Linked DNA regions of Coturnix japonica. The main gene of each other region encodes a partner of the protein of the gene in region 2 in a complex. Links are inferred from orthologs where the notes say so. Each region holds a gene or a part of one and is shown on either strand. Other genes may lie near its edges.

What was found.
Region 1: SNRPD1 (region 2) and SNRNP200 share a complex: the UniProt entries of both Homo sapiens proteins name them as parts of the U4/U6-U5 tri-snRNP complex. The link is inferred for Coturnix japonica from reciprocal best matches to the Homo sapiens genes SNRPD1 and SNRNP200.
Region 3: SNRPD1 (region 2) and STRAP share a complex: the UniProt entries of both Homo sapiens proteins name them as parts of the SMN-Sm complex. The link is inferred for Coturnix japonica from reciprocal best matches to the Homo sapiens genes SNRPD1 and STRAP.
Region 4: SNRPD1 (region 2) and PPIH share a complex: the UniProt entries of both Homo sapiens proteins name them as parts of the U4/U6-U5 tri-snRNP complex. The link is inferred for Coturnix japonica from reciprocal best matches to the Homo sapiens genes SNRPD1 and PPIH.
Region 5: SNRPD1 (region 2) and GEMIN5 share a complex: the UniProt entries of both Homo sapiens proteins name them as parts of the SMN-Sm complex. The link is inferred for Coturnix japonica from reciprocal best matches to the Homo sapiens genes SNRPD1 and GEMIN5.
Region 6: SNRPD1 (region 2) and CRNKL1 share a complex: the UniProt entries of both Homo sapiens proteins name them as parts of the minor spliceosome. The link is inferred for Coturnix japonica from reciprocal best matches to the Homo sapiens genes SNRPD1 and CRNKL1.
Region 7: SNRPD1 (region 2) and PRPF6 share a complex: the UniProt entries of both Homo sapiens proteins name them as parts of the U4/U6-U5 tri-snRNP complex. The link is inferred for Coturnix japonica from reciprocal best matches to the Homo sapiens genes SNRPD1 and PRPF6.

Annotation. Positions count from the first base shown.
Region 1 is NC_029537.1:1,057,782-1,062,344, reverse strand, and holds the start of SNRNP200 (U5 small nuclear ribonucleoprotein 200 kDa helicase), read left to right. Parts: upstream 1-1,434; 5' UTR 1,435-1,523; coding exon 1,524-1,568; intron 1,569-2,649; coding exon 2,650-2,813; intron 2,814-3,676; coding exon 3,677-3,848; intron 3,849-3,967; coding exon 3,968-4,160; intron 4,161-4,563. Other genes in the region: protein FAM178B, read right to left, coding at 800-1,070. UniProt on the Homo sapiens protein: Catalyzes the ATP-dependent unwinding of U4/U6 RNA duplices, an essential step in the assembly of a catalytically active spliceosome. Plays a role in pre-mRNA splicing as a core component of precatalytic, catalytic and postcatalytic spliceosomal complexes.
Region 2 is NC_029517.1:39,382,146-39,386,126, forward strand, and holds the start of SNRPD1 (small nuclear ribonucleoprotein Sm D1), read right to left. Parts: upstream 2,801-3,981; 5' UTR 2,624-2,800; coding exon 2,610-2,623; intron 2,058-2,609; coding exon 1,981-2,057; intron 892-1,980; coding exon 700-891; intron 1-699. UniProt on the Homo sapiens protein: Plays a role in pre-mRNA splicing as a core component of the spliceosomal U1, U2, U4 and U5 small nuclear ribonucleoproteins (snRNPs), the building blocks of the spliceosome.
Region 3 is NC_029516.1:57,770,041-57,774,014, reverse strand, and holds part of STRAP (serine-threonine kinase receptor-associated protein), read right to left. Parts: intron 3,772-3,974; coding exon 3,675-3,771; intron 1,292-3,674; coding exon 1,154-1,291; intron 585-1,153; coding exon 448-584; intron 1-447. UniProt on the Homo sapiens protein: The SMN complex catalyzes the assembly of small nuclear ribonucleoproteins (snRNPs), the building blocks of the spliceosome, and thereby plays an important role in the splicing of cellular pre-mRNAs.
Region 4 is NC_029536.1:5,566,865-5,571,561, forward strand, and holds the start of PPIH (peptidyl-prolyl cis-trans isomerase H), read right to left. Parts: upstream 3,238-4,697; 5' UTR 3,169-3,237; coding exon 3,103-3,168; intron 2,805-3,102; coding exon 2,740-2,804; intron 2,480-2,739; coding exon 2,456-2,479; intron 2,087-2,455; coding exon 2,042-2,086; intron 1,811-2,041; coding exon 1,768-1,810; intron 1,436-1,767; coding exon 1,343-1,435; intron 688-1,342; coding exon 600-687; intron 70-599; coding exon 29-69; intron 1-28. Other genes in the region: CCDC30 (coiled-coil domain-containing protein 30), read right to left, coding at 3,839-4,052, 4,226-4,296. UniProt on the Homo sapiens protein: PPIase that catalyzes the cis-trans isomerization of proline imidic peptide bonds in oligopeptides and may therefore assist protein folding. Participates in pre-mRNA splicing.
Region 5 is NC_029528.1:6,015,480-6,019,556, forward strand, and holds part of GEMIN5 (gem-associated protein 5), read right to left. Parts: coding exon 4,016-4,077; intron 3,581-4,015; coding exon 3,421-3,580; intron 2,906-3,420; coding exon 2,693-2,905; intron 1,995-2,692; coding exon 1,909-1,994; intron 1,497-1,908; exon of another isoform or gene 1,367-1,496; coding exon 1,272-1,366; exon of another isoform or gene 641-1,271; coding exon 504-640; exon of another isoform or gene 115-503; coding exon 41-114; exon of another isoform or gene 1-40. UniProt on the Homo sapiens protein: The SMN complex catalyzes the assembly of small nuclear ribonucleoproteins (snRNPs), the building blocks of the spliceosome, and thereby plays an important role in the splicing of cellular pre-mRNAs.
Region 6 is NC_029518.1:3,884,646-3,888,722, forward strand, and holds part of CRNKL1 (crooked neck-like protein 1), read right to left. Parts: coding exon 3,987-4,077; intron 3,497-3,986; coding exon 3,318-3,496; intron 2,710-3,317; coding exon 2,539-2,709; intron 2,313-2,538; coding exon 2,121-2,312; intron 1,205-2,120; coding exon 1,145-1,204; intron 979-1,144; coding exon 898-978; intron 1-897. UniProt on the Homo sapiens protein: Involved in pre-mRNA splicing process. As a component of the minor spliceosome, involved in the splicing of U12-type introns in pre-mRNAs.
Region 7 is NC_029535.1:8,471,006-8,475,082, forward strand, and holds part of PRPF6 (pre-mRNA-processing factor 6), read right to left. Parts: intron 4,009-4,077; coding exon 3,832-4,008; intron 2,971-3,831; coding exon 2,837-2,970; intron 2,389-2,836; coding exon 2,297-2,388; intron 381-2,296; coding exon 266-380; intron 1-265. UniProt on the Homo sapiens protein: Involved in pre-mRNA splicing as component of the U4/U6-U5 tri-snRNP complex, one of the building blocks of the spliceosome.

The DNA.
Region 1 (4,563 bases), on a different chromosome or scaffold from region 2:
CTCCATAGGGCACTGTGGATGCAATGGGGGGCTCTATAGGGCCCTGGGGATGCAATGGGGATCAGTGGGGGACACTATAGGGGCTCTGGGGATGCAATGGGGATCAGTGGGGGGCACTGGGGATGCAATGGGGGGCTCTATAGGGGCTCTGAGAATTCAATAGGGATCCATGGGGGACTCTATAGGGCTCTGTGGATGCAATGGGGATGCAATGGGGATCAGTGGGGGACTCTATAGGGGCTCTGGGGATGCAATTGGGGGCTCCATAGGGCTCTGGGGATGCAATGGGGATCAGTGGGGGGCCCTGGGGATGCAATGGGGGGCTCTATGGGGGCTCTGGGGATAGAAAGAGGATCAGTGGGGGACTCTATAGGGACTCTGGGTATACAATGGGGATCAATGGGGGACTCCATAGGGCACTGTGGATGCAATGGGGGGCTCTATAGGGCCCTGGGGATGCAATGGGGGACTCTATAGGGGCTCTGGGGATGCAATGGGGACCAGTGGGGGGCACTGGGGATGCAATGGGGGACTCTATAGGGGCTCTGAGGATTCAATAGGGATCAGTGGGGGACTCTATAGGGGCAGTGGGGATCAATAGGGATCAATGGGATCAATAGGGATCAATAGGGATCAATAGGGATCAATGGGGAGCAATAGGGATCAATGGGGGACTCTATAGGGGCTCTGAGGATTCAATAGGGATCAGTGGGGGCTCTATAGGACCCTGGCTATACAAGGGGATCATTGTGTTGCTCTATGTGGGGCCAAACATGGTCCCCCCCCCGTCCTCTCTCACCTGTCCGTGCTCCGCCCTGAGGCCTCATTGGGGGCGGTGAGGCCGGAGGCCGCGGATCCACTGGGCCGAGCGGCGGCGGGAGGAAGGGGCGGCCTACCCGGAGGTGTTTACTGACACGGAGCTGCTGGTAGGAACACAGGCTGTACTGGAAGGACGAGCTGAAGAGCCCCGAGCGGGGCACACGGGCCGAGGACAGCGGGATTTGGTACCAGCGGAGCAGCCCCGCCCGCTGACCTCGTCGCGCCGACGTCCCGCGCAACATGGCGGCCATGGGCGGGCGGGGTGAGAGAAAAGGGCGGGCTCTCCTCAGAAAGGCGGCGCTACCAAGTGCGGCTACTAACGGCGGGATTGGCCGTTTAACTGCCGACAGGAGCCCGGCAGCCAATCGCGGCTCGAGGGTTCGACCAATCAGCGCGCGCGCTGAACGGGATTGGTTAAAGAAGAGAAGTGTCCCGCCCACCTGTGCTCTCAGCCAATCAGAAGGGGTGGAGAGTGTCCCCGCCCCCCACCTCCCGCGGTGCATGCTGGGAGCTGCAGTCAACGGGCCTCTGCCGCGGTGCATGCTGGGAGCTGCAGTCAACGGGCCCCTGCCGTGGTGCATGCTGGGAGGCCTTGTGCGGAACCTCTTCCGGGATCGGGCTGTTTCCGCTTCCGTTGTTTCCGCTTCCGCCGGAAGTTCAGCTCCAGGGCCTGTTCCCGTGCACGGCGGTGGCGGGGCGGCAACATGGCGGACGTGACCGCTCGCAGCCTGCAGTACGAGTACAAGGCGGTGAGTGCCGGCTCGGGGCCTGTGCGCGGTGGGGATGCCGGCCTCATTCCTCCGGGCCTTCCCCGTCTAACGGGGGCCAATATGGCGGATCTCGTATAGTGAGGCCTTGTCGGGCCTTGTGTGGCCTGTGGTGATTTAAACCGGGCCTGTTTGAAGCCGGGGGCTTTAAGAGATGGTTGGAGGTGCGGCCTGCGTCCCTTATGGGCGGTGGGGGCTGCTGGATATAGGGCTGTGGGGAGGATAATAGGGGCTATGGGAGGATATAGGGCTGTGGGGTGGGGGTAATAGGGGCTGTAAGAAGGATATAGGGCTGTGGGGAGGATATAGGGGCTGTAGGATGCTTATAGGGCTGTAGGATGCTTATAGGGCTGTAGGATGCTTATAGGGCTGTGGAGGGATATAGGGCTGTGGGGAGAATACTGGGGTATGGGAAGGGTAATAAGGGCTGTGGGGAGGGTATTGGGCTGTAGGAAGAAAAATAAGGACTGTGGGAGGATATAGGGCTGTAGGAAGGATATTGGGGTATAGGAAGGGTAATAAGGGTTATGGGAGGAATGTAGGGCTGTGAGAAGGATGTTGGGCTGTGGGGAGGGATATAGGGCTGTGGGGTGGATATTGGGGTATGGGAAGGGTAATAGGGGCTGTGGGGAGGATATAGGGGCTGTAGGATGGCTATAGGGCTGTGGGGGGGTAATAAGGGCCGTGGGGAGGATATAGGGCTGTGGAAGGATATAGGGCTGTGGGGGGGAAAATAAGGGTTGTAGGATGGATATAGGGCTGTGGGGGGGTGATAAAGGCTGTGGGGAGGGTATTGGGGTATGGGAAGGATAATAAGGGCTGTGGGGATGATATAGGACTGTAGGAAGGATATAGGGCTGTGGGGAGGATAATAAGGGCTGTGGGAGGATATAGGGCTGTGGGAGGGATATTGGGCTGTGGGGAAGGTAATAAGGGTTCTAGGAAAGATATAGGGCTGTGGGGAGGATAATAGGGGCTGTGGGAGGGATATAGGGCTGTGTAATAAGGCTGTAGGAACATAAAGGCTCCACCTGATGCATTGTGACCCCCATCCCCCCCCCAGAACTCCAACCTCGTGCTCCAAGCTGACCGTTCTCTCATTGACCGGACGCGACGCGATGAACCCACGGGTGAAGTGTTGTCCCTGGTGGGTAAATTGGAAGGGACGCGGATGGGAGACAAGGCGCAGCGCACCAAGCCACAGATGCAGGAGGAGCGACGGGCCAAGTGAGAGCTGAGCGGGGCCTGGGGGTGGGAGGGGGCTCTGAGGGGGCTGTGGGGCTTCAGTGGTTATAAGCAATGTGGAATCACACAGTGATGGAGGTTGGGAAAGAGCTGTGAGGTGATGGATCCCAATTGGTGCATACACCACTGAGTGGTGGCATTGAGTGGTGGTATCGTGTTGGTGTATGGTCAGATACCAACATATATGGTTGTTATATGTGGTTGAGTTGTGGGTCCTCAGAGCCCCCCCAGGTTCATCTCCTGCCCTGGTGCCCCCCTCCAGCTTATACCCAACACAACTTCAGTCGCCTTTGGCACCTCCAGGGTTGGGGCACCCACAGCTCCTCTGTTCCACCACCCTCATAGTGAAGAAGGTGACCCTAAATCTCCCCTCTTTTACCCCAAAGCCGTTCCCATATCCATCAGCCCATCCCCAAGCACCACATACACACACCTTTTGATCCTTCAGCATCCTTCACAGCTTTCCCAATGTAGAAATACTTCCCCTCGACCAAAACTTCCCCAATTCAACCCAGGGCTGGGGTCTCTTGTGATGCTGTGGGATAAAAGATCAACCCCCCCTCACTGCTGTGTCCTCCTTTGAGGCAGATATGGAGTTTCTCCTTTTCTCTCCAGGCTAAATAACCCCATTCCCTAAGCTGCTCATTGTAAACTGGCTCCAGACCCTTTGCAGCTTCATTCTCTCTCCTTGTCGGGAAGCGAAAAGTGAAAGGAAAAGGGCTAAAAAGGAGGAAAAACGGGGCAGAGTTTACCTTTATTTTTAACAAAGGGAAGGCCCACGCTTTGCTGTCCAGCATTACTGGGATTCCCTGCTTTGAGCTGCTATGGGTGCTCTCTGTTTGCAGGAGGAGGAAGCGCGATGAGGACAGACACGACATCAACAAGATGAAGGGTTACACTCTGCTGTCCGAGGGCATCGACGAGATGGTGGGGATCATCTACAAGCCTAAAACCAAAGAGACACGGGAGACCTACGAGGTGTTGCTGAGCTTCATCCAGGCTGCCCTCGGGGACCAGGTGAGGAGCTGGATGTGTGTGATGGGGGCACATCCATATCACAAGGGGGATAATATCTGTGCCATAATATCTGCCCCTATGGTGATCTCCTGCTTATGTGGCTGCTGGTTGTTCCCCAGCCACGAGACATTCTGTGTGGAGCTGCTGATGAAGTGCTGGCAGTGCTGAAGAACGAGAAGCTGCGTGATAAGGAGAGACGTAAAGAGATCGATCTGCTGCTGGGCCAGACTGACGACACCCGTTATCACGTGCTGGTGAACCTGGGCAAGAAGATCACGGATTATGGTGGTGACAAGGAGATCCAGAACATGGGTATGGACAGATTATGGTGACAAGAAGATTTAGAACATGGGTATGGGCACAGATTGTGATAGTGACAATGAGATTCAGATCATGGGTATGGGCACAGATTGTGGTGGTGATAAGGAGCTTTAGAACACAGGTATGGGCACAGGTTGCAATGATGATAAGGAGATTCAGAACATGGGTATGGGCACAGATCATGATAATGACAATGAGATTCAGAACATGGGTATGGGCACAGATTGTGGTGGTGACAAGGACATTCATAGCATGAGTATGGGCACAGACTATGGTAGTAACAAGGAGATTCAGAGCATGGCTGTGGGCAGACTATGCTGGTGACAAGGAGACTCAGAACATGGGTATGGGCACAGATTGTGATAGTGACAATGAGATTTAGAACATGGGAATG
Region 2 (3,981 bases):
CCAAATAATTAAGCATAAATTACAGGAGAAATGGCAAGCAGTTGCTTTAGAGCACGATTACCTTTAACTTATTTCTGGAAAGACACACTGATTAACACTGCTGGGCAAAACTTTTACTGCCTGAAGACACAAACTTTGTGGAGTTTACTGGATATTAATTGTTAACGGCGCAGAACAAAACCAGAAGCATTCCCTATTCTGTTAGGCTTTAAGGGCTTTATCCACAGGAACACAGCCTCAGCTCCCTCTGCATTCTGAAGCCCCTTCAATTCGGTTCTCCAGCAGATTGTTTGTATCCACTGCCAAGTGAGATTTCAGTCCAGCACCGCTCCTGAGGCTGCTCTATATTTTCTTATTAGGCTAAATACAAAGTTACACACAGAAACCAGGGAAACAGAGCAGACATTTTGAAAAGAGAAACTGTGCATCCCATTGGTGCTGCCTCTGAGAATGCCATAGGTTAAGATTTACTCACACTTAAAGACGTTTACACTTTAAAACAGATGCATGAGAAGCTGTGTAAATAACTTCTCATGAAAGGAGACTACAGACACAATGAAGGTACACAAGGCAGAGTTCGGTACAAACCCTCAGAGATGAAAGCAATACAGAAATTAAGATTTCCAATCACATGCCTTCAGAGCGAGAGCACGAAAACACAAAGTAAAACAAGCAGAGACTGGGAAATCATGCACTCACCTGCTTCTCTTTTCTTGGACTTGACTTTTGGTTCAACATCTACTAGCAAGGTGTCCAGGGGCAAACTGTCTGGTAGGATGAAGTATCGGATGTTATTCCCCCGAATGCTCAATGTCTCCAGCTGTACAGGCTCCCTGTTCTTCAGCGTCATTTTCACAGCCTTGAGATGAGTATTCATACTGACATCCACTCCTGAAATAACACAAGGCTGATTTCAGGGGTGGGAACACACAGGATGACTCCTCTTTGGCTATTATTAACTGTGCACGTGCTTCAAGACTTTGCTAACACACGCTTCTGGATCTGTGCCATTTGTTAATTAAGCCTCTTAAGTGGAAGAAGAAACTACATCTTTTTTTCCTCTATTAATTATGCTGATTTATCAGCTGCTGCCCTCAACACTGATATATTTCCAAAGGAAGAGCCACTTACCACCAGCTGTAGGGATCTGTTCCTAGGTCTTAAGTCATAGCAACACTAAACACTTAAAATGATTCCTCCGGACAACAAATAAACTGCCACTTACTACAAAAGCATAATATTTGTCTTTTTTACTCCTTTCAAAAGAAAGAAAACGAACTTTTGAGTAGAAAAATAACACTGCGTTTCCTTCTAAGTACAACCATGATCTTCTGATCAAACACATCTAACATCAGCATCAGAAGCACCAACTGCAGGTGGCACCGTGGCTGCAACAGGCTTCGTACACCCATGTACAGGGATGACTGTCATTTTAGAACCATGGATGGCACTGCAGGGTTTTACAGGTTCTTAGCACAGCATGAGAGAGACTTTGCTCAACAGCGAAGGCTGTGAGAGTACAAGGGTAGGAGGCACAGAGTGCTGCCACCACAGCCAGCTTCTAACAAAATGGACGGATCTGGCTGCAAAATAACGTGCTTTTAACCCTTACATCTCAGTAGATTGTAACCATGTTCAGCATTTACCATTTATCTGTGCTACCGTTAGAAAAATATCTCTCTGCCAGTGACTCAGTGGTGACTTCTTGATGCAACTACAGTGTACTGCAGCTTTACCAATGAGATCACAGAACGGTTTAAGTTGGAAGGGACCTTCAAGTTCCAGCCCCAAAATGTTCTGAAACATAAGTGGATAGGCTGTATGACCACTGCCCTTTGATACAGCAGTGACACTGTCTCACAATGCCTGCATGCTGCTGCAGTAATTTCAGATTACCACACTTACACCAGCCACGCCAGCACCGGTTTCCTTTACCCCACACAGCTCAGATCAGCCTGGGAGGCTGCTGGCACACCGTACCTGTGATGGTGCCATGCACCTGCGTCCCGTTCTTCAGCTCGATGGTCACAGTCTCGTGACTCAGCTTCATCAGAAACCTAGGAATTAAGCACAGAGTGTTTGCTGTCACACTAAGCCTTATGTCCAACCACATGCTGATACGGGGAACCGATCGATGTACATCCTAACGCAAACGTTCTCAGCTGCCATGAACTGCACTGAAGGTGCTCCATGGGGCAAAGCCAAAGCCCCAAACGGCGCCCAATTGCCAGGGGCTGGAAACGGTGGCACCGGGCTCAAGCAGCGTCGGGACAACGCTTCCAGTCACAGGGTTTGTGTTTTGAGCGCCCTGCGTGAGTTGGGTTCGGGATCCCTCGTGCATCCCGTCCAACTCGGGCTGCTCTCTGACCACCAGCTAAGCAGCAGCCATTTTGGATCTCGGCACCGCGTGAAGGCGCTTCCACCCGGCTCCGCCCCCAACCCCCCGGGGTGGTTTCCCGGGCAGCCCCGCTCGCAGGCCCAGCCGCTCGCCGCAGAGCCCAGGCCGCAACGAGGCCCCGACAGGCCGGGCGGCCTGTGTGTGGGGAGGGGGAGGCGGCCTGCGCGGGCTCCCCGCCGCCTCTCTCCGCGATCCGCCTCCATCCGCTCACCTGACGAGCTTCATTGCGCCGGCGGGACGGCGCGGCGGCCGCGGGGCTTTCGGCGGGCAGCGGCGGCCGCCCCTGGGGGCACGAAAAGGCCTCGGCGGAAGCGCCGCGAGCGCGGGCGGACAGGAACGCGGCCTCCAACGAGCGCACCGAGCCCCGAGAGATTGAGCGGCCGCCGCCGGCTGCGATCAATGGGCGGAAGCGGCGCGGCGGAAGGGGCGGGACGCAGCGCGACTGCGCGGGGCTGAGGGCGGGCGGGCACTGAGGGGATGCGCTGCCGCCATTTTGGAATGGTGGGCTCGGGATTATACGTATCTAAGCACTGTAGCTGTGTGCAAATAGTCTAGTCCGCACCAGCGATGCTTCTACGTTAAGCAGTTGATAAGGAGCTCAGGCACACAAACGCAGCGGCCAGGATCTAGAAAAATCAGACCTTTTATTATCATTGATGAGTACACTGTTGTGATTTCTGCAATACAGACTCTTTTTGTAAAGCACTGAGATCTGGCTGCCCTCCAGCTCTGAGAACCCACGTTAACCCACGTCTCTCCCTCCATCCCTACACACACACCACAGCTCTTCTTTTCCACATGAAATCTGTTATTTTATGTTTTGCTTTAAACAAACCGCAAAGAACCAAGTTTGAGAGGGCAGCTGCCCGAGAGCCGTAAGAACCATTACATACTGAGTTTATGGTGTTCCTGCACTTTGAGTCTATGACAGAGGTGACACTGGTAAATGAAGTCAGAGAGGAGTTTCCAGTTAACCACCAATTGGTATTCCCAGCACAGCATCGAGAAGCAGACAGAGGCATGGTGAGTACTGATGTTTATGTGCAGGTTATGCTCACATAGAACCAGAAGCCTCCAGCAACATTCAAGGTTAAAATGAACAGATAACTGCAAAAGTCTGTACACAGTTTCAGTCACAACACAGTGAAACACTGGAGTATCAGTGCTTTGTGTTCTAACCTCAGTAACAACAACTGTGCTAGCTCTAAGATTCTACACGTTTCTCCCCCCATTTACATTTTATAACTGCAATCTGAATATACAGCTGTACTTACAGGAAATATTAAACAATGTGCAGCGCCTTAAGCAAGTTTCACGGCTGGTTTTGAACAAACCATATAAAATAAGTGACAAAATAGTTTAAAATTGGTCCTCAAGTAGGATTACTTGTTTTTTATACAGCTTGGAAGCACTAAATTTAAAGACACACATTTATTGTTAACCAGCACATGTTATTTTGTAGCTTTTTAAAGAAAAAAACCTTTCCTTTTAAAGTGTGTTACATCATGCATGAAAAGCAAGAAGCTGCTCCCAAGTGCAACATGGCATTAGGGTGACACCTCCTCCTCTGATCCATACTCCTT
Region 3 (3,974 bases), on a different chromosome or scaffold from region 2:
GCTGCTTACTGAGCATTCATCTACGTAATTTTAAATGAAGATAGGAGCAACAGATTAAAACACACTTTAAAATAAATTTTACATGGCTAGCATTAAAATACAATCCAGTAACTGTGACTCATTAGACATAATTAATGAATGCCACAGTACGACATTTAAGTTAACATATAGTTTGCTATTGCAGCAGCATGGGATGACTCAACATTTTCCCTCCCCCCCCCCAGTAGCTGCAGAGCTGTTTAGTGGAGGTTTTAATTAGATCTTCAAGAGTAACATCAGGTATACTATCAAAGGACAAATCCTCTTAACTGACTACATACCTTTCCATTATCTTGTACTCAAATAAGTTCGCAGCACAGCATGCTCTACAAGTTTAATTCATTAGCTGCTACATCATCTATCTAATACTTGTCAAAACTTGTTTTTTATTATTGAAGTCAAACATACCTAATTCTTCTCCTGTGTTATAGTCATATTTATAGAGTTTAAAATCTTCACCACCTGCAACCAAACATTCTTTCTCTGGGTGAAGGGATGCAGAATTGATTGTAGCAGGTGCTTCAAATGATTTAATCTGCTCTAGACTGAGGGAGGAGAAAGAACAGGTATTTTAAAGCAGGTCCTGAAAGCAAAGGAACTGTGATTCTACAATTCATAGTTGCTTTTAAGAAAGACAGAAGACACCCACATGCAGTTTCTGAAACAAATTTTTAACACTGGCAAGTCAAGCTCATAAAGTTTTGAAACAACAAGTTCAGAACAAGCAAAGCACACAGATAAGTTCACATATTTCATACTACTTTCTGGCACATATTTATGACTGCAACTTGCTTTAAAACATCATAGAAACTGTATGAATTAGTTCTCTTAAAGCACTAAATTGAACTCTGGATGAGAATCTTATTTAATGACAACTCCAGTTAGCTTTGAACCATGAAAATGGTACTGATCCATTACAATCTACCATCTTGCAGACAATCGGGGACCACTAGGTTAGAAAAGGATAGTTGTTTCAGACCTTGTCTCTGACAACATGGTAGGCAAAGATATCTACTGACATGGGTTCTAACAGCTTCATGATCGTGGCCTTGTATTGTCAGTTTTACTCACAATCAAACCCGTAACTCAAAAAGATTCTGTGTTTTAGACTCACGTTTCTGCACTATGAAAAGCAATAGTTTTCCCATAGGTTATCACAAGTATTTGCCCTTCTGGAACATACTCCATGCTGCTCACAGACATTGCAACATTTAGCGCCTTCACTTCGGTCATGGTACTCCTGTCCCAGAGGCTTAAGAAAAATCAGAAAGAAGAAAGATTCTCAGATCAATTCAACACACCAGTTTCCACCTCCACCCATGGCATGCTGTGGTTGCAAAAAACCCCCAATAAAGAATATTCTACAGACACTTTAGATTTTCAGCAGCATTCTTTGCTTTGCTTAGCTTTACTTACATGAGAATTAAGACAAGTTTGCATTAAAATACTGCTACTTTTAAAACGTATCAACTACATTAAACAGTACACATACTGCTTAACTACTCAAGGATTCTCTTAAAAGACAAAAAGCTTTATTACATGTCTCCTGAGCATTACAGCTTTCTAGAAGCAAAGCTTAAGATTGCATTCTGCCTTTTTAACACAAAACATATATATATAATACTAATTTAAGAAACTAATAGACTCGTTTAATATAATTTAGCATTTTGCCTAGGCAGGCAAGGAATATCTAAGCTAAAATCAAATTAAATTATAACAAACTGTCCCACGCAACATCCTGGTCACCATAATGGAGAAAATGGATTTGAGGGATAGACCACTCAGTGGATTAGGAATTGGCTGGACAGTTGCACTCAAGAGTTGCAGTTAACAGCTCAGCATCCAACCAGTGACGAGTAGCATTCCTCAGGGACTGGTACTATTTAATATCTTTATAGATTATATGGACAGTAGGATTGAGTGCAGCAAATGTGCAGATGACACCAAGCTGAGGTACAGCTGACACACTAGAGAGAAGGGATGCATCTCAAGCCAGACAGGCTTGAGAGGTGAGCTCACACTAACCTCACAAAGTTCAAAAAGGACAAGTGCAAAGTCCTGCACTGGGGTTGAAGCAATCTTAAGCACAGACACAGGTTGAGCAGATTTTAGCCTGAGAACAGACCTGAGGAGATGGATTTGGGAGTGTAATTTGATGAAACTCAACACAAGAGAAGTGTGACCAGCAGGTCGAGGGAGGTGATCCTGCCCCTCTAAACTACCTGCATGAGACCTCACCTGGAGGTACTGTGGCCAGTTTTGAGACACCCAGCATAAGAATATCAAGCTGTTGGAGTGGGACCAGAGGAAGGCCACCAAGATGATGAGAGGGCTAGAGCACTTCCCCTACGGGAACATGCTGAGAGAGCTGGGGCTATTCAGCCTGGAGAATAGAATGCTCTACAGGAACTTTACAGCAACATTCCAGTACCTGAAAGGGCCAACAGGAAAGCTGGAGGGGGACATTTTAGAAGGGCACATAGGAACATGGCAAGTGTAAATGGTTTTAAACTGGAAGAGAGTAGATTTAGACTAAACATTAGGAAGAAATTCTTTGGTTTGAGGGTAGACACTGGAACTGGTTGCCTAGTGAGGTTGTGGATGCTTCCACTCTGGAGGCATTCAAAGCCAGGCTGAAAGGGGCTGGGAGCAACCTGGTGTAGAGGGAGGTGTCCCTGACTATAGCAGGAGGGTTGGAACTAGATGTTCTTAACGGTCCCCTCCAGCCCAAACCATTCTATAAATTATGAGTTTCTTATTTCATTAAATAACTCAATGCTGTTATTTCAATTTCTAAAATTCAGAGAAAAAATAAAAGACCAGTCTCTTGACTATCTTGAATGAAGGAACTGAAAAAGAATTGGAGCCAAAACAGAAACAAGGAGACTGCAACTGTGATTTCACTCTATATCTACTGCCCTTCCACAAAGCAGAAAGCCACTATTACTCTATGCCATAAATATAAGAATAACGAGACAAGTAGACATGAGATGATGCTGATCACATCAACCAGAAAGTTGTGGAAGCAGCAAGGCACATCTTCCTTCTTTTTTGGCCAGCATAGATTGAGGAAGGATCTTTATCATTTCATCTCCCTAGCAGCCAAGTCTGTCTAGGCTTTAGCCCATCTACATTTAAGGGGATGATCTATCTTACAAAACCAGAAAAGCTTTCTCAACTTACCACATGGAAGAGAAAGACAGTTATGATTATTAAGAAGGCACTGTCTCCAGAGAGGCTTCCCTGCCTTTTATCCCAACCCTCGCCCAATGCATGTTTCAAGGCTTGACTGCAGAAGACAAGGCAGAGACACTTCAGCATGTCTTCACAAGACCTCACCTAGAATTTAATTTCCTCTAGGATTAGAAAAATCAAATTAATTCTACTATTCGGTTATCAGAGACCACCTCTTCCTATCAGGGAGGACACGTTTATGGTGCAAATCAGAATTAACAGAAAAATTATATCTTCAACAACATGAAAAACTGGATTACATGTGCATATTCTAATCTAGAATCAAACAGCCTTTATTACTATTTCCCAAGGAAATAACAATCCTCTGACAGAAACTGTACACAATAAGTAAAAGTGAGCTTCAGAGAAAACTACTAGAAGTTTGGTTTTTTTTTCCTTACCGGACAGTTTTATCATCAGCTGAAAGAATCTGTTTGTCATCACTGCTCCATAAAGCCTTTTTAATACCAGAAGTATGCCCACTGACAACATCAGGTTCTTGAAATAAGAACAAGTATTTCAGTACACATAAGAATATAAATTAACACTGTGCAGTAGTTTAGGAACTCTGGTCATCTACATGGATTTCTATTTACTAGAAGCTGCAAAATTACTTCAAACACTACTGACTTTTATTTACAGATTTCAATCTAGGAATCTATCCAATTGTCTAAACTTAAAAAGCTTCACTAGGTTAAAAT
Region 4 (4,697 bases), on a different chromosome or scaffold from region 2:
ACAGGAAAAACAAGCAAATTCCACTTACTTCGATTTTTCTCATTACCAACAGCCCATCAACAATTTTACCTAGAAGGAGAAAACACACCCACTTCAGTGCTGTGTTTTAATCTCTGCTGCCTTCCCCAGCACGTACAATTCCTGTTCCTCATGAAGAGGCCTGGGCACAGCTCTCTAAACTGATAAAAGGGCAAGAGCTTAAGGTCTGGCCTTGAAATCTTACAGCTCTAGAGGCAGTACAAGTAGTCAGTCATCCTCTGAAAGCACATCTCATACCTACAAACCCAGCTGAAAGCTCCATTTGGATGCCAGCCCCTTCATGAAGGTATCCCTTCATCCTTCATCCCTTGTCCCACCTGCACTGGCATGAGGATTTATATACTAACAATGATACAACCATCCAGGATCTGATCTGGATTAAAGTTAAGCTGAGAAAAAAATGTTCCTAATGACGCATCTCAATACCTGGCTGCACAAATAGCTCTGCTGGCACAATGGATGGGGAAGGAACAAGCAAATCCACAGCTGCTTATTTTTGACCCTGTGCCACAGAAACTGTGTAAGAGTCTGTATGCCAGGCCTGCACGGCAGGTACTCACCGAACACAACATGTTTTCCATCCAACCAGTCACACTTGGAGCACGTAATGAAGAACTGACACCCATTAGTACTTGGACCACTGTTTGCCTGCAGGTTGAATTTGTCAAAATGCAAAGCATACAAATTAGGACTTCCCAAAGCTGAAGGCAGAGACATCTCACAGCAGAAAGAGCTGCTGCTTTAGCTCTAACCTGGATACATTTTATTGAGCTCACTGCTTTACAAACCAAAGGAAACAAGACAGACATTTGCAGGACAGCACCTGTGCTTGGTCACGGTGCATTATCAAGTCAGGCCCTGCTACCGTGTGCAAGTACACAAAATCTTTACTGGCTACAACATCACACTGGGGAAATAACGTTATAAAAGATTTCACACTAACACTGCTGTGGCTCTGAAACTCCGCAGTCTTTGTTTCCTCCTTGCTAAGGTCAGTGTTCAACAGAGGCATAAGGAAAGAAAAAGACCCATCACTCATCACTGTACCAGATCTGCAATCCTCAAGCCTTTATGGAAGCTGAGCAAATAAAACGTGTTCCTGAACTCTGACAGGTAAGAAGAAAGGATTCTGGAGGATCAGGACTCACTTCACGAGCAACCTTCTGACTGCTACTTAAAACACAGGCCTTTCAGACCCCCCAGCCAACTGCAGATTCCTACTGTTTGCCAAATACAATGTATAAAGTTAGGAAAAGTGCAGAGAGGAAACACCAAAAGCTATCAGCCTTCATTTTATACTCACCATAGAAAGCAGGCCAGGAGCAGAGTGCTTCAGCTTGAAGTTTTCATCTGCAAAAGGACCCCTGTATATACTGGCTACTCCAGTGCCATCTCCCTGCACAAGAGAGGCAATTAGTCTGCCACAGCGTTTACTTTTGCATCGTGAACTTGAAATAACTAAGCCTGACTTGATTTGTACTATCCCTTGGAATAGCTGCTTGGTTTGTGTACTTAAGCATCTCTTCTCACACATACAGTGGAGATTCTCTGCCTCTTACTGGGGGGATGGGAGAAACAGGAAGGACAACAGGGTGAAAAGAAAACCTCTGCAAGTTTGAAAAGCCCCCAGTTATACCATCGTACTGCTAAGAGAGAGAAAACATGGGAAGGATGAGCTGTGTGCTGTACAGCACAGGACAAAGACAAAAGCAACGTGGTAGTACATACGTTTACAAAGTCACCTCCTTGGATCATGAAATCCTTTATTACCCTAAAAGAGGAAAATGATACTTAGTTCCCAGGAGAAAAATGTCTTGTGAATGTCTGCAAACACTACAGCCTACGACCAGCGAGCAGTATATACGACCAGTGAGCAGTATATACAATCTGTGAGCATTAACAGTATCTGACAGCACCCAAAGGGCAGACAGCAGAAGCCCTTGAGGCAGGTCCCAAAGCCACCTACTGCTACTGAGTCTCTCAACAAAAGCAGAAGTACCACCTGTGGAATGTGCTTCCTTTATAACCTATGGGGACGCCATCTTTCCTACAAGGAAATAAAAAGGAAAATCATTACAACTCACAGTAAGTCCCAACACAAAACCCTCCCAGGAGCTCACACCCCCAAAGGGACGCCCTGTACATTAGGCCTAATACATCACCTACCAAACCAACCCACCTCCTTCAGCCCATCCTGGAGCTTAATTTCACACTACCAGAGGCCAAGGGAAACCCTGAATGGCCACAGCTGTTTGCAGCATCCATTTCATCAGCTCAAAAGGATCCCACTGCAATTTGCAGCACAGACATCTGCATCCCCCCTTTTCACACAGGTAAGGAAACCTTCCAAGTGAGCCCTTTCCCAGCCCAGTATTGTCTGAGGATGGTAGATAAAAGGAGAAGATAAACCACATACCTGAATTCACCGGTACAAAACTGCCTGGAAAAGAAACAGCAGAGAAAAGCCGAGTATGAACCACTTCTGAACTTTGAGAGCACAAAGGCGGCATTCAACAATGAATGCTGTGCAGGACTTGGGTTATTGCAATGGGGATGAAACAGGAATCAATGGGAACCACTCAACGCTTCCATTTCACAACAGAGCTTTGAGGAGATACTGAGAAAGCTGCGATATGTAACGAGCTCAGGAGGTTTATATCACGATATAACGGTACCGTGCTCACAGAGGCTGCTCCTCACCTGAAGTTCTCTGCGGTTTTGGGCACCACGTCAGCGAACAGCTCGATCTTCATGCGGCCAACCTCCTACATAGACACAAACACAGATATAGACACACATATTGACACACATGGATATAGATACAGACATAGACACAGATACAGACACAGACATAGACACACACAGATACAGATACAGACACAGACACGGCCGGCTCACCCCGCTCCCACACACCCCCCCGCCCCCCAGCCAGGCCTCTTCCCCCCGCTCCTCCTCCCGTAACCGCCGGGGATCCTAAACCCGCCCGAAGGGGAGCGGCTGCGGCCTGTAGAAGCCGATGAGGCGGGGATGGGCCCGGAGAAGCGGATCCGTCGTGCCGCTCACCTGCCCGCCGATGGTGACGTCGAAGAACACCACCGGGTTGTTGGGGTTGGCCGCCAGCACCGCCATGATGGTGGCCTCAACCGGAAGCGGAAGTGGGGCAAAAGAGGCGGGGCTACGCACGCTCTGACGAGCGGAAATTGTGCGTGTGACGTCATCCCGTCATCTACGTGGGTGGGGAGGCCGGGACAACATGGCGGCTGTGGAACCGCCTGCAGCCACGGCGTGTAGAGCGGAGGGAGCGGGTCGGGCAGCTCACAGCGCTCTATGGAGCCCCATAGAGTGAATGGAGCCCCATAGAGTGAATGGAGCCCCATAGAGTGAATGGAGCCCCGCGGATCCCGTTACTGCTTCCTGCCTGTCTCTCCTTCAGCCACACGGGGGCAGCCGCTCCCGTCTCAGCACAGAGCAGAGGGGAAGGGAGGAACCCGGCGGTACGGCCCAGCACAGGGAAACCGGTCCATGTTTTATTGAGGAAGCTTGGAAAGCAGGGAGTGCAGATGAAGGGAAATAAATCTCATCCCACCCCCGTTCTTTGTCTGTCTGCAGATTGCAGCTCTGGGCTGAGATACACACACACCTTTAAGGTTGGCCATGTTAATTATTAAAGAAAGCAGCTGTTGAATAATTGAGATACCACAGAAATCACCAATTATCATCTGCCAACACTCCCTCTTTCAATCTTGTATGACAACAGGAGCCTGAATCCTGGCAGCCTGCACTTTACATCGTCCCCAGGTTACATGTTCTCGGAGCTGATGCTCTGACTCTCCTCCTGCAGCTGGGAGGTTGCAGTGTCTCCAGGTGAGGCGACGTTCAGGTACCCGATCTCTGAAGGCTGAGAGGGGGAGAAGCAGAAGGACGAGTCCTGGCTCTCAGCTCCTCCTTCAGGCTTGGAATCGAGCACAGGCTTCAGGCTGCTGAGGGAGTCTGGTGGTTCCCGTGGTAGGAAACTAAAAACACATTCAGCTCTTCAGTCACTTTAAGCATTATCTGTTTCCTTGCCGCCTGCACAGCCGCGGTGCGCCTCTGCGAGGCAGCACAGGGCCATGGCTGAGCCCAATTCCTGCCTTCCCACAGGCAAGGAGTAACCCACCCCCTTCCTTTTTGTTTTAACCCACAATACCTGGCACGGGGAGGTGGTGCTGACACCTTACTCTGGAGCTGCCGTTCAGAGAAGTTGGCATTCTTCAAGTCCTGGAACAACAGAGACTTTCAAAGGGGGATGTGCATGTCAGACCCTCAATTTCAACATACAGCCTTGGACCTGAAGGCGTCCCCCGTTCCACTACAGGCTCCTCAGCTCTACAGTACTACTAAACATAAATCTATCCTTTGAATCTGAACCTTAACAACAAAGAAACCAACCCCAGAGCTCAGGTCAAGCAACCAGAAAGAAAGAAAACAGAACAGACTGCACAAACAGGTCCTGAAAGTACTCTTGCATTTGCAACCACTTGTTTCCAAACTGGGTTCAGTTCTAGCACCAAATTCCATACAAGTTCAAAGTCAACTTGGGGTTTATCATTCACTCCCTCTGCTTGCAGTGCTTCAGCTCTGGAGATCCCAGGGCCCATCAATGGTGTTAAATAAAGAGG
Region 5 (4,077 bases), on a different chromosome or scaffold from region 2:
TTAAGGCTGTGTATGCACCAATCCTGACAACGAAACATACCCATCTTCATTGCCAAGGGCCAAGAGTTTACCATCTGGTTTCCAGCTGATCTCTGTATGTGCAGGTAGTTTGTGCTGTGGAGAGAAGATGCAGCTATTACCAGCCATCACACAAACTCTTAGGTCTCTCTTGAATACATCAACAGAACACAACTGGCAACTAGGAATTACAATTAGTCTGCAAAACAAAAGCCACCCAAGTGTCTGCTGCATTTTGTAGTAGTGACATAAGTTTGGGCAATTGAGGACTGAATGAACTGCAAGATGATGGAAGAATCACTGGCTACATCCAGCGCAGTGGAACGTGTCAAATGAAATGTCTTGATTCCAAAAGGACCTTGTTGTTCCACCTCCTTATGCTCCTTAGTAAGTTCTGCATGTTCCAAGAAACTTCAAAAGCCTACAACTATGGGCTACAGAACTATAACCACAAATCCATAGAAAAAGGCAAGAATCATACTCACTTTAATTGAATTAGTGTCTCTGATGGTTTTGTTGATGTCATTTGCCTCTCCACTAAGTTTCCAAGGGTTGTGTTGAAAAACAATACCTTCTCCAGCACAACTATATAAAGTTACAGAGGGATGTTCACCTTCTTCTCCTACTCAACAGAGGAAAAAAAAATCTAAGTATACTATGCTCTTCGTCAGTCTTAGGAAAAGCAATTATTCTTACTATAAATCAAAACAGTATTTTAAAATGCTGTATGTATGCTTTGATTCTCTGAGATCTGGCAGCAAGAAATTCTCAAAATACAATTCCCTAAAAGGACCCCTCATTCATTCTCCATAGCACAATTGCTGCACACATTAAAACTCCCTTTAAATCCTGGCCAATAAACCCCCCCAGGTTGCATAAAAGACAAATGGAGCTGTTCTGTTTAGTTTTAATGACAGAAAAACAGTTAGAGCTAAATAATCTGTACTTGATCCTAACCAATTATTGTGGAGAGCCTACATAGCTATTTCAGCGCATTACAAACATGTAACTATGTGGTGTTGTGCTCTACTCCCATCCACTTCCCGAACCTTTCAAAATACAGAACAGATTATTTTGCTCCCTTGGCAAAACTGTTACCAGTTTCTCAGGCAGAACGCATCCTTAGTGGATAGAAAGGACTGCTACCAAGCAGATGGAGCTCACATCCATAAGGAAGGGAAGCACACCAACTTTGTGGCATCTGTGTGCTCTGTATGGATTTCTACTTTGTAACAAGACATTATAACACTCACCAGAAGATAGTGGAGGAGTTGGAGGTCCCCAGGCTAATGTGTATACAGTCTTCTTGTGGTAAGTACTGGAGATCTGTGGGGGCTTATTCTTAGCACTGTGCAGGAAGGTAAGGAAACAGGAGTAGTCTGATTGCAGCAAGGGGAAATACAGAATAAAACCCCTAACAAAACCAAACTGAAACTAAACCAAATCCAAAACAAGCAAAAAAAAAAAAAAACCCAAAATTCAAACTAATGTATTTCCAGTAGTGAAAACAGACGACAGGTGCTTCAAAATACTAAAGCAATGGCTCAGCCAAGCCTTTGATGCTTCCTGTAGAACACTACTAAAATCAGAACAAAACTGTCCTAATGAATTGCATCTGCATGTTGCTCATTTTATGGAACTTTTTCTGGCTTAACTCATCCTTGACTGATGACTTCCAACAGGTGACTGTTACACAATTTGAGTAAGGTTTCTTTAAGAGCTGCCAGTCACAAGGAACAGATGAAAAGATACACTTAAAATACATCTGACTACTTTAAATTTAACTTTTAACAAATATCAAATGTAAACCTCAGGAAAGACCACGTCATCTATGTGTGCTGCCATACCAGCAAGATCGAATACTAATGAATCTGAAAACTACTTTCTTACCTGCTGGATAAGGCATCAAATATGCCAACCTTTCCATCCTCTGTTCCAAAAGCCAAACAACCTTCTTTAGTTGGATGCCATGCTAACTGCAAGAAAAGTACAAAGAGCCCCATAATGACAAAAGGAATTGACAATTTATTTTTAAATAATAAACAACAGGTTAAGCACTGAAATCAAAAGCACTGTCCCTTATATTCACCATGCTAACTACAGCAACTCAATTTAACCACATTGTGATGTGAATCAAGGACTCTTCCCTTAACAGTTACTGGGACAAGAGGAAAGGAACTGAAATCATTGAAATGCTACCTGACTGCTACATTACAACATAGAGTCATACTTTTGGTGTGATCAACTAACATGTTGTAATGCTGCCATCGTTTACTAGATGTTAGTATTTAGCCAATTGCTGTTCAAATTCAAACTGAAGGCATCAGTGCCAGTTTTTCTACATGTTAAACTTCCTAGCAAACAAAAGGAAACTGTGGATGACACAAGGAATGATCACAGTTGTTTACAAAACCAAGAAAGTGAGGCAATAACCACCTAAACTTCAGCTGATTTTCAGTATGTGTACTGTAAATACCTACTGTTCTAAAAATGTCTAAAATGCTGATCAATTCTAAAATTTATATCATGCAAATTGAGAGCAGAAGTAACAACTCGGCATTATAGGATTTAGTTAGGAAAAAACCTTCTTCAGTGTGAGAGAAAAACATTCCTCAAAGAGAAAAATGGAGTGAGAAAAGAGACAAGAAAAAAGGGGAATGTAAAGCACACTTACTGCTGTAACCTTGGATTTTATGCTTTGCCAGTAGGTTTTCACATCATAGATGTTGCTCATAGACAAAGTATTCCAAACGCGGATCATGCTGTCTCCAACACCAATGGCAAGACAGCCTGGGTCCACAGGGGAGAAGGCGAGACTGTAGACAAATCCCCCAAGTGAAGGCATTGTCCAGCTACAATCTAGAGTTGATAGGTCCCAGCACTTTATCTAAAGAATATTTAAGGAACAACGAATGATAAAGTGACTGGTATGATGGGGGGGGAAAAACAAAGCACAAGTGAGAGGAAGACTCAGAGTATGCACGTGTCAGTATGAGTCAAAGACAGAGCTGTATTAACTGCAAGACTGCGATGGAACAGGGCTATGGTTTAATTATATGGTCCTCTTCTAAATTCAAAATAGGAGGCACTGTGCTGCCTGTAAAAATCAAAACCAAACCATAACAACCCTTCCTCCCCCCACAAAAAAGGCAGCTATTAAACGTTTGATTTTTCAAGTCCAGAGGGCATAACCATTCTGTCCTCCAAGGTAAAAGCTTGAGCTTACATGCTAACAAAGAAATGCACAACTTGTGCTCAGAAGAAATGTTGAGCCATGATGTTATAAAGGGCAGGGATAAGCCTGCTTTAGGAGAAAATGTGTGGTCATCAAAGTGCTAGTTTCACTCAGTCAAACTGAACTGCCGCTGCTATTTTGATGTTAATTTTAAAATGGGTTCTTACATCTCTGTCCATTGAAATGGAAAGAAGCAGCTCTTTGTCTTGATGCTTCAGGGAACACAAATTGAACACAATACGGGAGTGATTTTGCCCTTCTGAAGATCCCATTAGTGTCCACTTGCGTTTTCCAGGTTGAGTTAAATCCCAGTGTAGCAGTTCTCCTCTGTGAAACGTAAAGTGTGTATATTTCATTCTTCACTTCAAAAAAATCATATCAGCGCTCACGCACATACTGCAAGTGTGAGAGTAATACAGATAGACACACATGCACTACACGTCCCTCTACAGAGATAAAACTACCCTACAGATATCCATTCCTAATCACATTGGAAGTGGAAATGTCAACTGCTTCCATTAAATGGGCAAAAACCACAAATAGTACCATTAGCAGTCAGTATTCAGTTAGATTATTAAATGAATTGTGGGGCAAATAACAGCCTTCTAGAAGACTGAACTTCCCCTACACTCTTAGCCTGTCCTCTATCTTGCTATACTAGGAAGGGAGGAAGATGGGGGTGTCAGTGTTTCCTGCCAGTTGTTCTTTAAATATCAATGAATTAATGTACAATTAATTTTACTTGCTTTGTCTCCTACTTACCCAAAAGAGCTGGATACAATTTCTGTAGGACGACCACAAGGCCAGTGGACAGTGAGCCAAAT
Region 6 (4,077 bases), on a different chromosome or scaffold from region 2:
AATGAGCGCACTACAAACATCTACCAAATTAAACAACAATAGAGAAAAGACCAGCAAAAGAGAAGTCTAAAATAAACTGTAGGAACTATTATAACAGAGACCAAAGTAGCCTTTCTAGAATGGAAGGAGGGTATTTCAAATCAAGCTAGAACTACAGCATGTTTCATGACAGATGGTTGCCTTCTCCTACAGCGAGATTTTAAGTCTCATTTAATCCCTCTGCTTTACTTTTTTCCTGGGCAAGGACAGGAGTCCAGCCCAACAAATATAGCTTTACTAGCATGCTGGAGGATAACCAAAGTCCACTGTTGTCATTCAACTTACTCAGAGTAACTGAACTGAAGGGAAAACAGTCTTTTCCATTTCATATTTTTTTGCTGCCAAAACATATCCCATCATTCACTGACATGGTAGGGAAATTTGCACAGAAGCTCTTGCACCTGCACAAAGCCCCCATGATTGCTTCTATCTACAACCAAGTAGCTGGTATTCAAATGTTATCATGAAAGTCTGAATGTCTGAGAATCAAAAATGCCTGTTTATTTAGATTTTTTTTTTTAAAGCAACTGCTAATACAGGTATTGTTTAAACAAAGTAGCAGCAGTTAAAGCTCTCTAAGAGTAGTAAGCTGATTTGTACTCCTGTATTCAGATACATCTTTTGCCAGCAGAAACAGGAAAGCTGCATCCATCTCAGACTGCGGCTAACTCATCATATCAAGCTATACTACTTTAATCATACATGACAGTAAATTCTGGTCCCTGCAGATCTCTAGGAAGCTTTATTTAAGTGGATTAAAACCAGCAATTGACAAAGGACAATTTTTAAGATCTTCTCATGCCATTCCCTAGTTACTATTAGTTAAGGAAATCAATTAGAGAATTAACCAAAGCTTACCAAAGCTCTTCTAGCAAGTGGAAGATTTTTCTGTCTTATTTCAAACTGTGCGTACAGCAGCCATATTTTGGCAAATGTAAACTGAAAGAAAAAGAACAATGTGATGCATGGGTTGGGAGCTCAGTAAATAATTCTGCATGTGTTCTTCACAAGACATCACTATCTTCATACGGACTCACACTACCAATACTGTATATCTTACAGTTTACAACGTAAGAGTTTATATGAACTGTTGGAGGAGCCGTACCTTCTTGTGTGGAAGGAGCTCAATACACGCCTGATAAACTTGTCTGGTTCGCTCTGGATCCTGAAAGAACAAACAAAATTAAACAAAAATTTCAATTCTTCATTCACTGTTCAGATCACATTATGGTAATTACACCATTTTGAATCACACAATGATTGTCAAACTGTAGAACTGTATTTTTTTAAGTACAGGAATTTAGAATAATGTATACTTAAAAAAACCTAGGTATTTATCTACACATGTGTATGCACAATTCAAAGATGGTAAATTCTGAGTGTCATTAAGGGCCTTCTCTTTAAAAGAAAAGTCTCATTAGGAATGAGCCTATAAAGCCATCAGTGTTATCAGTTAGGGGAAAAATATAGATATTTTTCCTTCTATGGGACACTGAACAGCTATACTGAACTATGACTTTATGAAATCAAATGTAGCTATGTGACATGACTGGTAACACACTAGACAAAGCCTCAAAAGGGAACTGTACCAAGAACTCGACTGCTTCACAGAACAACTTTACTAATAGTTTTGTTCTGCTGTTTGTAATACTGCTGTATTTGTAATACCTTGCTACCTAACTGATAAAAAAAACAGAAGAAATACCTATTATATTAGGCAAATAATACCTATTAATACTATTTATATACCATTTGTACCAGTATTGGCACAAGTTCAGGCAACAGTCTGAAAAAGGAAATTCAGATAGGGCTAGAAAGAGCTGTTTTTGCTTTTATCAGTCAGTTTCTACATGAATTGGGGCAAAACGAATGCTTTTCTCTTCATACAAGGGAAGTGCTATTTCACACAAATAAAGGTGTATGTATAGGGGGGCAAATGCTTAAACAGCAAACCCTGAAGCTAATGACAAAACAAACCAGACTGTTGTTGCTCTCAGTTCTCTGCAGGTACCTGTAGCTACTTTGTGTAAGAAAAGTACTTCAGAAAGAAAAAGAAAAAAAACTGAGTTCTTACTACTTGCCTTTGCCTCCAGCTCTTCATATAACGCATAGTTAATCCAAAGATAGATGTATCTCTTCCAGTATCTCTTCTCTTGAATTGGGGGAACGTTAGCAATGGCTCTTTCATATACTTCTCGGACAGTCTCCGCATCAGCATCGCTTTCAACTAACCTCAAGTAGTCAAACCATGCATCATAATTATGTGGATTTGCCTTCCAGAAAGTTAGGAGCAGAGAAATGGGAAAGAAATTTAATTAACTGCAAATAACAAAACTTTTTCCATTACTTAGTTCTTATTCCGAATCTCCCCTTTAAAACAAGTCATTGAAACACCAGCAAAAACTGTCTCAAGTATGACTAAGCTAGAGCTTTGAAAGGGAGGTGGGTTAAAGTGTTTTTATCTCCACGATGAGCCCAGTGAATATTTATAATACATACCTTCACTTCTTCTTCATACTGGAATCTTCTCTTGCTGACAATGATGTCTTCAATACCTCGTCTATCTCCAAACTTCTTCTCAAAGATGGTATAATTTTTGAAGAGATTCTGGGCGTCCTGTTTTGGAATTCTATCCAAGGCATACTTGTAGATCACCCTTACTCTTTCAAACTGAAAACATTAAATATCATTTGAATTATATTTGGAATTCAACTACTCTCTTACCCCATAATGTACATTTTAGTATCTCAAATGATCCTTTAACAACATTTAGTGTATATTATCTTTTTAGGACAGGACTAACACAGATCTCCCTGGAGGGTAACAGTGAAAAGAAGAAAGATCTGTTAGTACCAAAACCTACTATCACTTACTCATTTATAGGTTTGGAATAATTAAAGTATTTTTAAGAGTCTGCAGTTTGGGGTTCACAGAATGTTTTGAATTGCTTACTTGCAAAATCATGGATAATAGAGCTTTTATTTTGCATTATGCACACAGTTGATCTACAGTCTCATACTAGAGGACACATATGAGATCGAATGGGATTATTCTGAGGCTGGGAATATTTGGCACTTATTTTGCTTAGAAAATATTTTCTCAAAGTCACCAAAAGCCAAATATAAGCTAAGAAAAAGATTGATTCCTTAACTCAGACTACGTAAGACCACAAAGCTGCTGGAAAACACAAGCACTGAAGTGAATGTTAAGGGACCTTGAGTCTGATACTCAGAAAGAAATCTTGTGGTTAGCATCAGTCTGATGTAAGACAGCCTTACTTCTTTCTGGTTCTCTTCAAACTTCGCAAAAGCCACATACAAGTGCTCATCCATATGCTCTTCTCCAAAGAACTCCACTGCCCTTTCATATACTTTCCTTGCGTGAGCAAAATAACAGTGCTTCTCTTCAAAGCGGGCATACTTGATCCAGTTTTTCACATCAGGATGGACAATAACGAGTAGAGAGCTACGTTAAAGAAACAGTAGCAGTTGAATTGAATCTCTCAAATGGCATCCTTCCCAGTGAGCACAGGTGAAACAACTCCTAAGAATGACATATGCAAGTAACACAACTGGGAAGAAGACATTAAGCAGCTCTGACCACGCAAAGGTATCATGCTGAGTACTGTAAATCTGAATTTTAATAAAGGGAATAAAAGTCAGGCAAGAGGCAGGGAGAAGGCTAGAAAGGAGAAAACTGGAACAAATCATGCCTACAAAATAATTTAGAGGCATGGGTGCTGTTAAATGTTCCCTGTTGGAGCAGGATTTGTACATTCAACTAAATTTGGAGACATCTTATTAAACGTGTGTTTAAGACCCACCACTGGCTCTCAGTATGGTGGCTTACTCCCAGCACATCACAGTAAAAAGGAGGCGGTGTAGAATAGAGACAAAAGAGTTCGTGCCTAAATTTGGATAGGAGACACAATGCACTAAAAAGGATATATCTTTCATAAATGGTACGTGCCCTATCCACTTCCTTGTATCTCAGCTCGAAGTTAATGTAGGAATGCCAAGCTTGCTCCTCCGGTTGCCA
Region 7 (4,077 bases), on a different chromosome or scaffold from region 2:
CAATGTGAACATATTACTGTCCATGCTGCACTCCCAAACCCACCAGGAGAGCCTGAGGGCAGGCTGACATCCCTTGTTCTGAATCAAGGTAGAGCAGCAGATTTGCAGTTACTAGGAGACAGCTTGAGAGCTGCTACTTGCTCTGAGGCTCATTAGAGCTGCTGCAGCCAGCATCACGTGGTCGTGCTCAAGTGCAATGTCTCATCAGGGATGCAGCTACACACACCAAAATGAGTGTCTTTACTACATCAGGACGGGAACTTACTTGGCCACAGCCAACAGAACGTGTGGGTCGTGCTCACACTTCTTCAGGGCATCCACACTCTTGGTCTTCCGTTGTGGTCGCGCTTCAAGGAAAATTGCCTCTGACCACAGGATTCCTTAATCAAGTGAAGTAGAAAGATTTAGTGTGAATCAGAGATTAATCCTCCCCATCATCAGGCCAGCGCTCTATGAAGTGAGCAGCACTACTGTGCCCACCCCAGAAGTTATCCCTGCACCTCCACCTTGTCTCAAATCGCTCTTTCATCATGGATGCTTCATTCAATACTCTGAAATTTAGCAAAGGACCCTCAGTTCTGAATGTTTCTGTACCACAACAGCAGTGTGCACGAGCACAGAGCTTAAGCCTTTCCAATTAGACACCGCACACAGCAGAGGGGAACTCAGAAGCAGCAACAAGCTGGTCTGAATGGAAAGCTACAGTGGCAGGTGAAGTCCCACAAGGTGTAAAGTACACCACTTGGGAGCAGTTTCAAAGGTGCCAAAGAACACCACAGTATTATTGATGCTGGCTCTCCACACATATGACGAAGGACACGGTAGGGCCAGGAAAGCTGGGTTTAATCCCTAGTTCCTTTCACTGCCAAAAGCAAGAAAGGAAACATGCTCAGAGGAGCATGAAATCTTCAGTTTCTAACGCCAGTCAACCATACCTGTTGATCACTTCAAGGCAAAGCCTGAAAGCTTGGGTCTGCCAGGACTCTATCAAAGCACTCTCACTTCCCATAAACTGCACATGGGAATTAACACACTCAGATGACAGCAGTGACAGACTGCAGCAGAACTCTAGATTTGCTCTTTACATAGAGTCAAACCATTCTCACAGACCTCTATTTTCAGTCCTGCTGAGGACACAAACACTGATGTATTTCAGTTCATGATTTTATCCTTTGTGCCATCTATGTCAGCCACAAGCAATGGTAATCAGATCAGCAACTGATGGACGCGGGTCAGGTTTACACAATTGTAGGTGTCTAACAAACTCAATCCTGCAGGTTTTTCTTCCTGGTTTGTAAACTTTTAAGAGTTGGGAGTTATTTTATTTAAACAGAATCTGAGATCTTACTGCCTATTTCTATAGCAACAGGCAGAATCTGCAGAAGAGCCTGAGGTGGCAAACACAACAAGTGTTAGGTCCTTCATAAAATAAAGCTGGTATTACTTTGTTGGCCCACTCACAAAGCAAGCAGCTTGCAGTGAGTTGATCAAGCCATAAAAGTCACTTAACTCCCATTACTTCACTGGGGTGACTTAAGCAGTCATCAACTAAATACCTTTCAAAACCAGCCTGAAGGCAAACTAAAAAGACTTGCCCTGTGGTAGGTTACCACACTTTCTACTGAAGTGACATCTCTCCAAAGATGTCAACACGTTCAAAGAATTAAAGCCTTCCCACAATTCTGTCAAAAAGGAAAAAAAAGAAAGGAAACTTCCATTTTCTCCTCCCATCCCAAGAGGCAAATGTTTCCACTGCTGGTTAGAACCAACCAACTTCGTTAAGGAAAGGCAAATAGAGCTTATATGATGAGCTAAAATAATCAAAACCCATTAGTAGTGCAATCAGTGTGGGCAAACCAACAACAGGAAGTCTCCTATGGTCAATTATACCCCAATGAGACAGGGGAAAAAACATCCTTTTTCCACCAAACTCCCTAATTACAAAAGCTTGAGAGTCTTTCTTCAGTTTTAAACCTTGGCACAGACTTCTACCAGCCTCAGAGAAAAGCCACCCATGTCCATGATTATTTTGCATGAAACCTCTTGACAAACTGTGGACCACAAAATCGATGATGCCAACACCAACCCATGTTCCCTTCAGTGTGAAGCACTACAAAGTAACCAGGATCATTCACAAAGCCCCCCCCAACCCTCCCTTTGCAGGAGAATGGCTGTCACTTCTCTAAAATGCATTATTCTGAGACATGGCCAGAAAGGCCATCTTGGATAAAGATAATCCTTTACTAACTGAGCAAACACATAACCAGGTTTAAGATCAAAATGACACCCAGCTCACCTGAATTAGGGCATTCTTGCAAGGCCTTGGCCATCAGAGTATTTGCAATGTTCTTCAGCCCAGCTCTGTACTCCAGTCGCACAGACTCTAACCTGGTAATAAAGAAACCCAGTGATGATATTTATTGTAACACATTCACTCTGTAACACAAATCAACTCTGAGTCACATGAAAGTCACTGGAAATTACAAACATGCCCATATGAACACATGCACCTTACTGACTTCTTCCCATTCCTCCCCATTAAAAAACACATTTTGCAATGGCCTAGTCCATTTCTCATATCATTTTTAACCTATGATAGAAACAAAAGACCCCTTGATTTTCATGTTCTCTACACTGCAACTATCTGTAAAGAAACAACAGGTCCCCAGCTCCTCAGAGTAGCCACACAGCAGCCAGAATCTCCAGAGCCCTTCTTCAGAAGAAGTGCTAGGATAGGTGTGCTCATAAGTTCTGTGATCAAATAACTGAGGTGTGAGATACCTCATGCATGCATCGATCTTGCAGCTCAAACTAAGTTCACGTCTACACAACTCACCAGAGATCCGCATTCTTTGGATTCTTTAGGCGAGACTTTTCCAAGATAGCCCTTGCTCTGGTCAACTGTCCCACCTTCTCTTCCAGTCTGGACAGCAAAAGCCACAGAGGGATGGAATGGGGACACTTTTTCAGCTGTTTAATATGATAACAAAAGGTACGGTTACTATGCAGATCTGAAAACATTATAACCCCCATAGAAAAGGAATCCCTTCCTTGAATCTTTCTGAGGAGTTCAGAAGTGAGATAAGTGACCACATCTCTCAGATTTCTCCTAGTTAATCATATAGCACTAAAACAGTAGAAATCTAGTTTCTCCTATAACCAAAACACCAAGAACACCACTATGACTAAACTTCCTCAATGCCAAGCAAAAAGAAAGAATACACCTCCCTTAACAGTACATCTATGACCTGTGCTCCATCTAGAGATGGAGAGCTCTAATAAATAACAAAATCACACCTGCAGAGTACGCAGGAAACGCATTGCCCTTGAAGCTCACAAAGTCATTAGGATACAGACACCGGCAGAAACCTGCTTCCCTATTACTTGCAGGGCAGATGAGTTTCAGGAGCATTCCTACAGGACGCCAATTACCATTTAGAAGACACATGAGTACTCAGCAGACAATCTCCTTTTACAGTGTTTACCTAACCTTATTAGCAGGGTCTTCTGTTAAGAAGTTCTGCTGTTTAGTCGTTGCAGGTCTTAGAGAATTATTGTGTAATGACTTCATTCCTGCTAGTGAGTAGTCAAGCATACAGCAAACTCTCTCAAGCAAGAAAGCGAATTCTGCACACACACACCAGCTAAGAGATAAATTCTCACTGCTTATTTCAACACCCTAATAATTTTCTCTTACTGTTTTAACCAATGACAGGGAGAGAAATCACCTCCACTGTTAATATGGGACAGAGCCCTCTCCATCCTGATTTGAAGACAGACATCTGTCCATATCACAAGCACAAAGCAAGCTTACAATAACATGCATCTTACCCCTTGATTGTAAGCCTCCCTTGCTTTCTCTACCAGCTCCTTTTGTTCCTCGATTTGTCCTTTCATCATCCACAGTTTGGGAAAGTCCTCATAGTGTTTCAGGGCTTCCTCACAAAGCTCCTGTGCCGCAGCAATGTTTCCCAGCACCCATTCCAACTTCACAGACTTCATGAAGACCTGACAAAGAGACGGAGCCGTTTATCACTGGGGAAGAAACAAAAGCAACAAAAACAAGAACTCTGCCAA